2 linked regions of the Mus musculus genome follow. The main gene of each other region encodes a partner of the protein of the gene in region 2 in a complex. Links are inferred from orthologs where the notes say so. Each region holds a gene or a part of one and is shown on either strand. Other genes may lie near its edges.

Region 1 (7,591 bases), about 31 Mb from region 2:
GTTCCCTGTTGTTTAAACACCTAAGACTCAGAAATTAAATTTTTGTTGGCTTCAGAGTTTTGGGAGCTAAGGTGTGGGTCTGTGGTAAAACATCTGGCCTGGGGGCTAAGGGGATTTACTTGTTCTGTTTGTATTTTATGGAATAAAGCAACGTCCTGATAAAATGCATTGTGTCAAGTTTGCAAAATAAGGAGTAACACGTGGCTCCTCCTAAAATGTATGGCTTTTATGTTCTTAGAAACAATAATCTTTCTCTCCTACTAAACAGTCTACTTACCTTCTGTAAAAGGAGTTTATTTGTATCCTTTAGTTCTGTTCATTAAATGAAAAGTGCATGTTTTTGTGGTACATGTCCAACTTTTATAACATTTTTATTGCTTTTGAAGTAGAATAAGGTTAAAAAGACTGGTTGGTTACTAGATATTGATATATTAGTGATTTACTCAAAACCTTGCTTGTACTGCTAGGCTTGACTTCACTTCGCTACCTGAACGGAAGAAACTGGAGAACAAGCTGAAATGTCTAGTTAATCGAGTATGGGCAGGACTCACCCATCAGCCAAAAGGTCTTTGGCGCAAGGGAAAATGCACTGAGTGGAGATGGTCTCTGTCTCTGGGCTACTCCACAGTTGCATGTGCCAATATCTCACACCATTCCCCTATATCGAATACGCATACATGCCATCTGACGAGACCTTGATGGGGACAGAATGACTCGGTTCCTGCCCCTGGGACAGGGCCAGCACAAAGGCTCCAAGAGTTCGGATGGCTGCCATAGGCATAAGGCTTGTTTGTATAATAATGTACATTTTTTACATTCCTCCTTTAAGCAATGTCCTTCCTATTAACGTTAACGACCCCATGATAATCAGAGACAGTATGAGTCCAGGAGACGAAGTTGTGGCTAATGTCTCAGCAAAACTAAATGCTGGGACCTTCAGGACAGCCTTTAATGCTGTGGAAAAGGACTCTAAAAACATGAGATTGAAAATATATAATTTCTCAACGATGCAAAAAATAGGGATGCAATATGAATTATATGAGAGGCTTCACAAATCTCAAGGAACAGAGGTAGCTAGCTACACTATGAGCCAGCTTGTCAGATACAAAGGCAGGCAGATTCCTGAGTTCAAGGTCAGCCTAGGACGCAGCAAGTCCAAGCCCAGGTGTGCTAGAAATGGTAATTTCAGGACAGGGTCTCACCCAGCTAGCTTAGTGTCTACTTAACAGACGCAGGCATATCTCTAAATTCTGTTGCAATGTTAAAATTTTAGAAAATGTGTGCTTGCTGTTTTTTTAAGAACTAAGGGGCTCTGGTCACAGGATGCTGACTCATAGGATAATCAAAAGGAAAACCTGATGTAAATGACCGGATTAATATGTAAAATAAAAGACTGGGCTTATGATCTGCAGGAGAAGAGCTGTCCAGGGAATTTAGAATAGCAAGAGTGAACTGCTTGGAGAACTTTCTCAAGCAGAACTGCAGATCTCCAAGGAAAGCAGATCAGAGAGGAAGATGTAGAGGAGAGGAAAAAGCTGGAAAGCTCAGACCCTCGATTTGACTTAGTGTTGTTTTCGTTGCTCCCGGACACCCCTTAACTCAGACCCCTTCTCCAAGCCGAGGCTGGTCCCTTGGCACATACTTATAACCCCTGCTGATCTGCTCGAGAACTCATACAGCTTTCTCCTCAAGAATCTCATTCCGTTTGTTAAAGTATTTTAAAATTTGTACTTACTGTTATTGTGTGTGTGTGGCCAATCCCCAGACCTACTTCGCAGGAGAGAACTGACTCCTGAGTTGTCCTTTGACCCCAACATGTGTACACGTGTGTATGCGCACACAACACTAAGTAGGTGTAATCTTAAGTTTTCTAGCTTTATGTTACGTAGAGTCACCTTCCTGTCTCATGTGCCACATCACTAGTAACAATTTCCTAGACATTGTTATGTGGTAACTCAGACAATGAGAATTCTGTTATCTTAGTGGGTGCATCTCATCGTTCATTAACAGTTTATAGCTCCCTAAAGACAATAACACATTCTCTCGGCTTGATTTCTCCTGCTTTAGGTGGCCCCAGTTTGTGGCTCCGAGGCCTTCTGTGTCTAACTCAGGGCACCACACACTCACTTTCTCTACTCACCACTCATCCCAGATTGTACTGGAAAATGAGGGGAAGGAAAAGCAGCGGGTGCTCGGGCAACCAGCTCGTGCGGAACCTAAGGACAGCACCAGCACTCTGTCCGGAGCAGACATTCCCAGGCAATGGTGTCTACAGCTATGCATCAGGAGGGATGGGGACTGAACCATTCCAGAGACAAAGTGCCGGGACAGCCAGGGCTTGAATGGCTGATCTACTCCTGAGCCTCTCAGTCATATAAGCAGAGATCGCTTCTTTCCTGGAGATTCAGCCAGGCTCACAAGGGAGGGTTTCTTTTCTTTTTTTTCTTCCTTTTTGACAGTTTATACTAGGCACAGTCTCCAATACAATCCCTATATGAACTATTCATGGCTTATTCATGTGACTGAAGGTTAGAATTATGCCCATTAAACTTTTCAAAGTCCAAAAAAGAGGCCTATACAGAGCTCATTCGGTACCTTTAAAAATACTATTTTATTTATACACATGTATAAAAAATGGCCATCCTGTCATTTTATATACATCCTGATAAGGAAACAGAACTCAGTAACATGCATTTCAATTGTACAAAGAACACAATGGTGGAAGCACGGTTACAGCAAAGCGGAGAGACATCATAAGCAGTGATTGTGCTCTCAGTGAACAGCAGCACCCTGAAGAATCAAATCCATTAGTAACTCATCCTCACCGAGAACACAGAGAGAGGGGCGTTAGTGATTGTACTTAATTATTTTTACTAAGCCATTTCATCTTCCTCACAATGCAAAGAAATAAAATATAATCTGAAGAAAAATATGACCTCATTATTATTCTCAGTAAAAGGGTCTGCGGCTTATGGAGTGGAGCAGAGTTCAGCAGGTGTGCCTGCTGGCTCAAGGGCCTCACGGTCCCGGTCTGACCCTCTGCTCTGGACAGATACCACTCACTTTCAGGTGCCTGCACTAACTCCATGGGAGCTGCAATCGAATGACCATTTCTGTGGTGTTCTCAGACCTCACTAAGTAAGAAAAGATTTTATACACATAAATATAACAATTGATCTGTCTATAAATTATAGCAATAGGCTCTTCTTTAGTGTAATGTGGAAAAGCGGCCTTCTGAATACATAGCTACAAGTACTATTGTGGTCGGAAGGTTGCTGGCCTGGTCCAGGGTTGCTGCAGTGAGGCCCAGGTGTGCATCAGAACCACTGCTGGATTAAGACACTTCCACAACTTTTATCAGTTCTTCAAATAACGGAGCTAGCTCCTTTTCTAGGCTGACAATTAGTCCTAAAAAAGAGTTAAAAAATTAGAATGTTAGAAGATTTTTCATATGAACTCTGGGCTGAAATGAACCCTTTCTCCTCATGTGGCTTTTGCCAGAGTAGTTCGCCACAGCGACAGAAAAGAAACTATGAAATTATCTCTAAATTGTCAATGACATTCAACTTGTCTCAGCGTTGTAATTTAATTGGTTGGTGTAGAGAATTATGACACTTATACAGCGCCCTGTATGTATTCTGTTCAGTTTATGTCCTGTAGCCCTTCCTTTTTTCATAGGCTGTTACAATGGGAGTCACAAACAGCACACGCAATGCAACACTGAGCTGACGTTTCTACGCAAACCCCAATGTCTTGCCTCATCTCAAGAGCATCTGGAAGCCACCGTCGAGGTGGACGAGGCCGGGGAGGGAGGCAGGCATGTGAACTGGGAATAGAATTCAAGAGAAAACAGAGATGGGGCTGAGGCTCTGTCCGTCCTAATCTCTCACGCTGCAGAACGCTATAAAGAATTCCAGGCGGCATCTGTGGCCCTGCTAACATACCTGTGTTGGCACTGCTGCTGGCTATGAAACTCACCACCAGAGGCAAACGATTGAACTGAACCACCTAAAAGGAAAGAAGTAGTAATGTTGCAAGTCTACAAATTCAAACAGCTCATCATTCAACTTTCAAGGTAAGCTTTTTGTTTGTTTGTTTTTTAACCTGTCACAACAGAGGAATTGTGTTGAAGAATCGCAGCTATGTAAGCTAACGGCACCATCTACTGGAGTTAACAATGATCTAACACATACTTTATAGCATAACAAGCTCTTTATTTTTAAAGTTTTAAGTACTTTTCCATAATAATTATTCCCTTTCTTAAAAATAAAGATTAGTTCGAGCTAACTATTAAAAATTCTATCCCCCTGACACTAAAATCTAGACTTATACTAAAACTAATTTATACAAAAGATGTAAAAATGGTAGTGAAATCAGAAGTGCATCAGTCGCTGTAAACGGAATATACAGACCTGGTAGGTGTTATAGTAGCAGATGATGCTTTTGTTTTTTGAAAGTCCGAGTTTGCTGCCTTGGTCTGTTGCGAGGGCAAACGTGGATAGGAAGCCAGGTCTCAGGGCGTGCTCTGGGGCACTGTCGTTAGCCACTGCGATCAGTGATTACATAAACGTCATGTAGAGTATGGAGGGAAGAGTTCAACAGCAAGTTTTAAAAAACACAAACCAGTAAAAGCCTAGGCACAACAGGACACTTGCCATGTTGAAAACCCTACTGCTAGCTGGGTCTCGGAAGGTCTGTGACTATAAATCCCTCAGGGACGACACGCTGCCTTACATGTAACAGAATGAATATCCTGGCCATCTCAGACTATAGTCATCACTGTACTATACTACAGTGCTCTGGTGTAGACAGAATCAGATGGAAAATGCCTTTTGCTCTCATACAAACCCACAGCCCAATGGCTGGCTGCCAGCTTCACGCTCCTCTCGCTCGTTAAGGCTAGACTAGTGTAGCAGCTGCATCAGCTAAGTATGGAGGTTCAGTGGTTCACAGACATTCTGGGAAAGAACATGAGGGCTGGAGAATCACCTGAGCCCTCTTTCTAGGGGTGAGAAGAGGAAGGTGGCTGGCCATAGCTGCCCACACGGTGTGGCTGTGTGGTGGGTGGCACACAGTCAATGGACTCTTATCATGTCTTGTCACCAACTCAATGCCCAGCTCTGCCCAGGCAGTGTCCTCTCTGCACTTGACCATGCTAATGGATAAACTGGAAGAAATAACCCACGTGACCTCAAAGCACGTTTTAATCCTAATGTCTAAATTTACCTGATATGGAAAAGAAATTGTAAATAAAATGCATAAGACACTATTTCATCTTTAATCTTTGGTAAGTGAAACCAGCAAAGTCCACTTTGATGATGCCAGGAGATACGAACAGCAGACAAGCTGAGCTCACACTACCTCTGTTACAGCAAATGTGCACCAAAGAAAGTTGAGGACTGCCAAAACCATGTTTGGTGGATTTGGGGTGGAACCGAATATGATCAAAACACATTGTATGCATGCATAGAGGTCTCAAGACTTTACAGAGATGTATTTTTAGAAACTTCTTAGATTCTGATCAACTAAACTAATGACATTAAAGTTTTAAAAAATATGTTTCTAGTAAAGAAGCAAAACCCCACAAGATTAAAACCCACCAGTGGGGCTGGAGAGATGGCTCAGCAGGTAAGAGCACTGACTGCTCTTCTAGAGGTCCTGAGTTCAATTCCCAGCAATCACATGGTGGCTCACAACCATCTGTAATGGGATTGGATGCCCTCTTCTGGTGTGTCGGAAGACAGCAACAGTGCATTCATATTCATATGTATATGAATACATATATGAATGCATATAAATAAATAAATCTTAAAAAACAAAACAAAACAAAAAACCCACCAGTGTGAGCTAGTGCCGTGGCTTAGGGGTTGGCTGCCTGCCTGCCTTGCTCACACTTTCAACAGTAAAGACTTGTTTAATGATTTGTATTATGCCATAAGCATCCTCAGTGGATAACCAGGACTATGGTAAATGCACACAGATGCTAGATGTTACATGGTCCAGATGACATGCAGTTCACTGTAGGCTCTACACCAAGTCCTCAACACACAACGTATATACTTCCTCGAACAACTAAAACAGTCTTTCTAGTTTGTTGAAATAAGCTGTCTATATTTTTAATTATTTAAATATAAAACATTTTTTGTCAAAAGTAAATGTGCCATATGCATGCAGTTAGCTTTACCTTTAATAACCGGCACCCCGTCTCTATCTGACACAACAATTGCATGGAGCCCTTCAACACTACAAGAAAACAAAGTTCAGTATTACAAAGTTACTTTGATTTCTACAAATATGTATCTCAGACTCATGGTGGTACTTCTCACGCATATAGACATTTCTTTTTCCCCTCCTCCAGCACCGCAGACGGAACGCAGGGAGCTGCACACTCTAGCAAGAGCTCTACCACCAAGAAGCAAAGTCCCCTACTGTTTCATGCATGTTCCTGAAAAACATATGCGTGTGTGTGTGTGTGTGTGTGTGTTAGAATATGTTCCCAGGCGTGTTGAGAAAAACTTGTCTAGAAATTCCCTAACGTGTACCACTGAGATGCTGAGGATATTTACCACACGTATGTTAATTATTGAAGAGTAAAGCTTATGTTCTATCATTCCATGGTTTATAGAAGCAGAAAAGGGTTCAGCTCTGACAACGGTAAAAACTAAAGAACCTTTGTCTGTTTCCCTCACTCTTTCTGATTTCTGATACTGGGTTTTCAGATTTTAAGGCACTTAGTATTTCCTGATCATGTGATACTGACTCTACAATCTTAGAATTGAAGTTGAGTAGTAGTTGAGTTATTATCAAGCAAATAATCTTACACTAAGGTAAAATTACTACTATGGGAGGTGCCATTAGAAGATCTGTAGGGAGAACACTTCTCTGGGGAAGTGGCGGCTTGGCTAAATATTAGGGCATCAAGTAACTGAAAAGGAGGGGCTGTTTTTTAGGCACTGAGCAGATCTGATTTCAAAGTGTGTGTGTGAAAGAGAGTATGTGTGTAAGCATGTGTATCTGTGTATGTGTGTGTGAGAGAGAGAGGAGGGGAGGGAGACACAGACACACACAGAGAGACAGATGCAGACAGACAGACACACACAGAGAGACAGACGCAGAGAGACAGACAGACACACACACAGAGACAGAGACCACGACCCAGTTTGCACGTGGAAGTAAGAGGACATCCTCGGGTCTCTCCGACAGGCTGGCCATGAGCTTCCAGGGATTCCCTTGTCCCCACACCTCACTGACTTCATGTGAGTTCCGAGGACCCAAACTCCGGTCCTTACACTTGCACCTTAAGTCTCTACCCACCAATATGTATATGCTCATGAATTTAAAACAAACAAGCCAACCAACCCCATCTGTGTGCCTATTTGTGTATGGACATGCACGATGGTACCTTCCAAGGCCAGCAGAGAGCATCAAATTCCTGGAAACTGGACTCAGAGGTGGCTGTGGATTACCCAGCACGGGTGCTAGGACGTGAACCCATCTGTGTTTTTCACAGAGCAGCAAGTGCCCGTAACTACCGAGCCATCTCTCTATCCTCTTAAAGTCATAGTAAGTGAAAAAGAAACTTCAGTTTTGA
Region 2 (6,816 bases):
TTCTGAAATGGCCCAACTCAAGTATCTTGGCATCTCATAGTCCAGTCAAGTTAATACATCAAATCAGGGCAGGGGTTTGGGAAACCCCATGCAACCATACTTCAGCTTTAGTTCTGTGCAGACTAGAAAATTACCTATCTCCAGTGTGTGGTTTGACAGAGAATGTCCTGCCAGACTCAGAAGCTTGACTCCTTGGCCCCCAGTTGGCCGAGCTGTTTGCAAAGGATCAGGAGATGTAGCAGTGCTTGAAGGGATGTGCACTGGGTGTAGGCTTTAAGGTTTCCAAAGACTCATGGCATTCCCAGTGTGCCTTTCTCTGCTTCCTGCTTTTGGATCAAGATACGATCTCTGAGCTGTTCCTGACCAGCATGCTTTTGCTACACCATCATGAACTCTAACCCTCTGAAACTGTAAATCCAATTAAAGGCTTCCTTTTCTAAGTTCCCCTGGCCATAGGTGTTTTGTCACAGTAATAGAAAGACCACAAGACATCTAGCCTTTCAGTCTTCCCAGCACAAGTCTTGTTCTATGAATAAATTGGATATATTTTTTCCTACTTCAAATGGCTACTGTGAGTAGATGAGAAAATGCTTCACTGCTAAAGAGAGAGGTTCTGAGATAAGCAGATATAGCATGGCATGTGGCACAAGCAGGGGGCCAGAGCTGGATCTCTCAGGTCACGGAAGGAACTTTAAATTTTGTTCACAATGCAAGGGGAGGTACCTGAAAGTTTGAAACTAAGCCTGGCGCACAGTGAGCACCTACACCATGTTACTGAGCATGATCACCAACAGGATGCCCTGTCAAGTTCAATTTATCTGAAATCGAAATCAGTCACCCTCTTTCTGTTCTATGACAGACTAGAAAATGCAATTTTTGTTCCTATTCTCCTGTTTGCTGTTGCTTTTTGTATTTTATAGAACCCATTCTTTTCTAAACTGATCCCAGTTTAATATACAGATGGTTAAGTGAACCAAACCATATAAATTGCTCAGTATATCTCTAGCATACAAAAACCTCACTAAAGTTTGAATTGTAAAAGCCAGGCACGGTGGCTTGGGGGCTGGAGAACTGGCCTGCCCCCTGCCACCACTATTGGGCTGTTCTCAGCTGATGGCTGAGTAAGTGCACCACCACTACCCAGCTAGGTCTAGGATTCACATTTCCAGCTATTTCACCTCCTGCCTCACAGACCAAAGCGTTTGCTGTTATGCACATACTCTTTCTGGTTTTCCCTGTCTTTGCTTTCCTCTTGCTAGAAACCTTTACTCACTGCGTCCATTCTATTCTTGGAGGCCCAGTTTATACCACAAACCCCTTATCCTTGTGTATTCAGTAAGTGCTTAGTTAATGCCTTCTGTGAATGAGGAACTATATGCTTGGAATGTAAGACAAAGTCATGCTTTCGGAACAGGTTTGACAGTGGTATATATATTATGCCTAAAGTAGGACATTATATAACACCATTCTTAGGTACCAGCTTAAGGCCTTCAAGTGTCTTACTCGAAATCCTTTTTCTGTAAATAGCACCTTTCTCTAAGACTTTTTTTAAAAATAGGGAAATATTAAAATGCCAAAGAGCAGTAGAATAAATAAATAGACAAAATGGGACTGGCAAGATGGCTCAGTGGGTAAAAGTGCTTGCTGTATAAGCTTAACAACCTGAGCTGGGTCCCCAGAACCCCTGGTAGGAGAAAATAAACTCCCACAAGCTGTCTTCTGATCTCAACACACACACTGTGAATTCACACACAGCATGCACACAGTCCTTGTCATCTGCTGTGCAGTATCTCTTGAGAATCACTGAAGGCTGAAGACCACTATTAATCTCAAATGATAAAAATTTTTTTTATCCAACATGCCTATTTCTTCGATGGTCTGGATGATGGTAAAAATGTAGTCTGTCCATGTCGGGTAGTGGTGGCGCACATCTTTATTCCTAGCACTTGGGAGGCAGAGATAGGCAGATCTCTGAGTTTGAGGCTAACGTGGTCTACCAAATTCCAGGACAGCCAGGGCTACACAGAGAAACCCTGTCTCAGAAAAATCAACCAACCAACCAAACAAAGCAAAGCACACACGCCTTCTGTCAGTTAAGTTCTTAAGTTCTGATGGTGACCATGCTAGCCCCTAGGCTTTGGTTACACACAACAACCAGGAGTACCTATCCTATTTTATAATGAGAAATAAGTTTCTGGTCTTACTAAGGACTCAATGATATGTCCTTTGTCACTTAGGTTGAGGGAAATATTTGATCCATCTTCCCTTGCATAAGAACACAGACATTTTAAGACACCGAAAGAGAAACAAGTAGTTTGGGATAGAGATCTTTTAGAGAAAAAAAAAAAAAAAAAAAAACCAAAAAACCCACAATTTGATAACTGAAAAAAGAAAAGTGAGCATTAAGTAGGAATTTTAAAAGACCAGAAATGAACCAAACTTTCCTCAGAACAGGTTTATTGGCCATAATGAAGTTCTATATACAAAGTGACCTAAACCTTAGTGACAAATGCTTTAATTCCAGGATGTATGTGTTTAAAGCAGGAAGACCATACATTTGAAGTCAGCCTGGGCTACATAGTTCTAGGCCATGATGGGCTGTGATCCTGGACTACAGTGACTGTCACCAAAGAGCAGAGTGACAAAAGCCCAAACAATTGCTCCTCTCTAACTGATGTCTTGGTAACTGGCTGTCATATAAATAAGGGAGTCCACATTGGACATTAACTGAATGGCCTATTTCTGGAACTTTAATAGTTTTACAAATGAGCTGAGACAGGCATGACTGAATCCCGGTGAGAGGCCACTGGAGAGCTGACATCAGATGTCAAGAGGCCATTTTGTGCACAGCCACTGTGATGCCATCGTGTTTCTGGATCATAATGTTCCTGAAAAGCCAAAAAGAAAATATTCAGCAAACTCTTAATGCATGTGTCTCAGTGTAAGATTAAATTTATTTAGTTTAAATATATTTATGTTTAGATGACAGCATATTTATCTATATTCTCATACAAAACCAAATATGAACAGTCCCTGTTGACAGGTGTCCGTCACCAACCCCTAGTGCCATAGCCTCTCCATACTTCCCACCCAGAAAGGGGACTACATTCTCAAACCAAGAGCCAAGTCTTCCGCTAAGAAACATGAATAAATAAATAGCACAGATGGGCATGAACAGTTGAGGATTGTGGGCAAATCTAATTATAACATAAAGAAATTAATCCTTTTAATTAAAAAAAATTTTTAAAAAGTAATCCTTAACCCTACTACTCAACATGATTCTGATTTTTATTTTTTCCTGGAGGTTTTGGTGGTATTGTTGGAGTTAGAATCTAGAGCCTTGCACATGCTATCACTAGCCTAGCCTCCTTCCTGGTCCTAATTTTTAGATTAGATTTTTAAAAAATATATGTATGTGTCTGTCCGTGTGTGTCATTATACACACTGGTGCCTGAGAAGGCCAGCGAGTGGTGTTGGTTCCTCTGGAGTTGGAGTTATAAGTGGTTGTGAACTTCCAAATGTGGGTGCTGGGAACTGACACAGGTCCTCTGGGAGAGTGCCATGTGCTTTCAACCACTGAGCCGCCTCCCCAGCTCTTAATTCTTATTTATGTTACTTATTTTGGGGGTCTGTATGTGTGCCACTGCTTGCATGACAACGTCAGGGTGTTTGTCTCCTCAGTCATGTGGGTTCCAGGTATGGAGTTCCAGTCATCAGACTTGGCAGCAAGCACGTCTATTTGCTTAGCCATCTTGCTGGCTCCTGGTTCTAATTTTAATTTGTATATATTTATACATATATCGATATTAATATCTTCTTTTTCCCTTGCCCCAAACTGACCAAAGTATGCATTTTTAAAGGTTCACATACTCTATCTCTGTGCAGGTGTGCACATACAGGTGTGTGCATGTACACACACCTATGTATAGGCACGGAGGTCAGAAGAAGGTGCTGGGTGTCCTCTATTACTGTGCAACTATCCTTTGATGTGTGGTCTTATCCCTGAGCCTGAGCCTCATTTTCTCTGCTACACTGGAGGACAGCCAGCTCCAACAATCCTCCCATCTCTGCCCACCCCCTCGCCCCTGACTGAGGGCTGAGGTTGCAGGTGTTTGTTGTGTGGGTGCTGGGGTACTAGTATATAAGCTCTCATCCTCGGGACTGTGGCTCTTAAGCACTGGCATTTCTCCAGCCCCACAGTTTTGTTTTCTTCCTTTTATCACTTAGCATCTGAATAAAGATCTTTATCTAGGAATATCTTTAAGACCTTACTTTAGGGAATTCTATGCAGCTAATCATTTTTTGTGTTTTTACTGTTTTTCCTTTATTGGAGTGGCAAACTGATAGTTCTTATTTTAATGAAGTTCTGTTCTCATGAGGCCTGGATGTCCAATGGCTCTGTGGTGCATTGACTAATGAACTACCACTGAATGCAGGGGAAAGCCCAATCAAGTTTTTCAGAACAAAAAGAAAGGGGTGTGCTGGTATGTACTCACCCATTATCTGATTCTAAACATACCACAGGGATGTCGGTGGGGTCAGAGGTTAGCCTAGCTGCCTGCTGGGCTAGAACAGATATGACTCCAGCGTGCTCATCCGACAGGGTACCACGGCCTAGAGAATAGTGAGAAGTGTCTAAAAATTAATATAAACCTATAGTTTAGTATCTCCTCCAGAATTATTTGTGAAAAAGAAACTCCGCTCACGGCCTTTTTGCCTTTAGGTTAAGTACTGACAAGAAAGGATCTCTCTCACCTGGTACTCAGCTGAGTCCATTAGTGAGAAAGCCTGGCAATTGTTCTTAAATCAGCAAAGTCGTAAACGACATGTAGTTTTCAGAGTTATTCCCCTCACTATCTCTAAACACCTTCTCAAGCATATAAGGAAGCTGTAATTCAAGTCATCTGATGGTAGTAACTATTTTATAGGAACCTTGCTGAAACCAAGAAATTCAAAGGCGAGAGTGACAAAAAGCATTCAGTATGGATAAGGGGCTTGTTGATGCTAATTAATTCCTTATGGGAAATCTGAGTTTCTCTTCCTATGCTCAATCTCAAAGAAGCAGCCATTACTCAGAAGTCCAGTTGTAAGATCACCTTGCCAGCATATGTGAAGACCTGTGAGCAACTATTTCTGCTAGCAGAAGCTAGCTGGGCTCCTTTCAAATGTCCCCCGAGTCTTTACTATTACTTTGACTTGTATTAACTAAATCAGGCTCTAGGCACAAAAGGTAACCACCAAGCTTATTATAGATCCCTGAAATAAAGGGGTTTACTTACACCTAAAACTAAGGTAGTAGACAATATAACCTGGCAGAAATTCTGGATTGACTATTACTACATAAAAAATCCGTAGGCCAAAGTGCAGCCCGGAAATCTATTGGAAATAGCAACTTCGCACCTTGAAGGTTTTACTTAGTTTTTTTTTTTCCTCCACATTTGCATTTAAAGAGTTTTCATTAGTAACTTGGCAAATGCTTCAAAAAAATTTACCTTTGTTCCAAATGGCTGCTTTTTGTATAAGACATAACTATATTACTTTTGTCAGGTATCATACCAGCAAAAGATCAGAGCTCTAAAAAACCTGCATCAGTTATAAGGATTCTTGGGTTTACTAGTTTCTGACATTAATTAACTTTAGCTATTTACCTTTCTGGACTTAGTTCCTTATCTGTAATTGCTACAATTTATTGAACACCACACAAACACATCTTGGTTCTGTACTGGGTGTTTTAAGCTTTGGAGCCAGCTTTAAAAACATCCTATCTCAACCATTCATTAGGTGTTTGACCCTGGGCAAGGTACTTTTAAGCTTGCTAAATTTCTTGACCATAAAGGGCTTTGGTGGGGGGGGGGGGGCAGGAAGGGGGGTTATGTACGTTTTATAATGAAAACACTAAGAATAGTGCCTGGCTGGGCATGGTGATGCACACCTTTGTTCCCAGCATTCAAGGGATAGAGGCAGGCAGATCTCTGTGAGTTACAGGCCAGCATGGTCTACAAAGTTTGTTCCAGGACAGCCAGGGCCACGTAGAATAAGTTTTTAAAAAAAAATGTCTTAAGACAACACACACATAATGTATGTATGAAATAAAATAACCCAATGAAGAAACTGAAGCCCCAAGAGGCTCCTTCTGTTCGGCACTCATGTTGCTAGCAGACAGCATCGGAGAATGGGGTTGAAGTCAGACGTGTCTAACTAGGAAATCCCTATTTTTACTGACAATAACTTACTGTTGAGAGTGGCTGGACTAGCAGCCAGCATCATCCATTTTCAGGGTTATTGAGGCAATTAAGGAAATAGTGTAGCCTGACTGTGCCTGCACAGGGAATGCATTCAGTAAAGATGTCCTTATCTAAAGCCCTTTTCTAGACCACTTAAAATTTATTCAAAACCATTTTAGTAGGAACAGTTGTAGAACTGGGAGGAACATTTCTGCCTTTAAAATGCAACTGAAAGGCTTCAACCATCTACTCTTACTTGGAGATAGTCTCTATGCCCTAAAGGTAACAGGAATAAAAGCTAGAAAATAGTAGCAGTGTAAGTTAAGGCTCTCAGAACTTCAAAGGGAGGCTGGTAGGAGACACTTACAGCCCAGATTAAGTCCTTGTGAATCTGTGCATAGGACTCCAACAATGGATGGATTCTTCATTCTAATTTTGGGAGCACAAGAAAGATGAACCAGATGATGTGAAGAAAATATTTCAAATTACTGTAGTAAAACAGATTTTCTATGCACCGAGTATTAAGCACTTCAAATCAGCCCTTAAATTTTTTCGCCCCCTTTCAGAGGACAAACTGTGAGTTGTTTAAATA

The links. The genes of interacting proteins can lie anywhere in the genome.
Region 1: Lamtor5 (region 2) and Lamtor3 share a complex: the UniProt entries of both Homo sapiens proteins name them as parts of the ragulator complex. The link is inferred for Mus musculus from reciprocal best matches to the Homo sapiens genes LAMTOR5 and LAMTOR3.

Annotation. Positions count from the first base shown.
Region 1 is NC_000069.6:137,923,764-137,931,354, reverse strand, and holds the end of Lamtor3 (ragulator complex protein LAMTOR3), read right to left. Parts: intron 6,244-7,591; coding exon 6,185-6,243; intron 4,547-6,184; coding exon 4,413-4,546; intron 4,009-4,412; coding exon 3,945-4,008; intron 3,409-3,944; coding exon 3,335-3,408; 3' UTR 2,593-3,334; downstream 1-2,592. UniProt on the Homo sapiens protein: As part of the Ragulator complex it is involved in amino acid sensing and activation of mTORC1, a signaling complex promoting cell growth in response to growth factors, energy levels, and amino acids.
Region 2 is NC_000069.6:107,279,707-107,286,522, reverse strand, and holds the end of Lamtor5 (ragulator complex protein LAMTOR5), read right to left. Parts: intron 6,654-6,816; coding exon 6,592-6,653; intron 4,615-6,591; coding exon 4,497-4,614; intron 2,889-4,496; coding exon 2,828-2,888; 3' UTR 2,441-2,827; downstream 1-2,440. UniProt on the Homo sapiens protein: As part of the Ragulator complex it is involved in amino acid sensing and activation of mTORC1, a signaling complex promoting cell growth in response to growth factors, energy levels, and amino acids.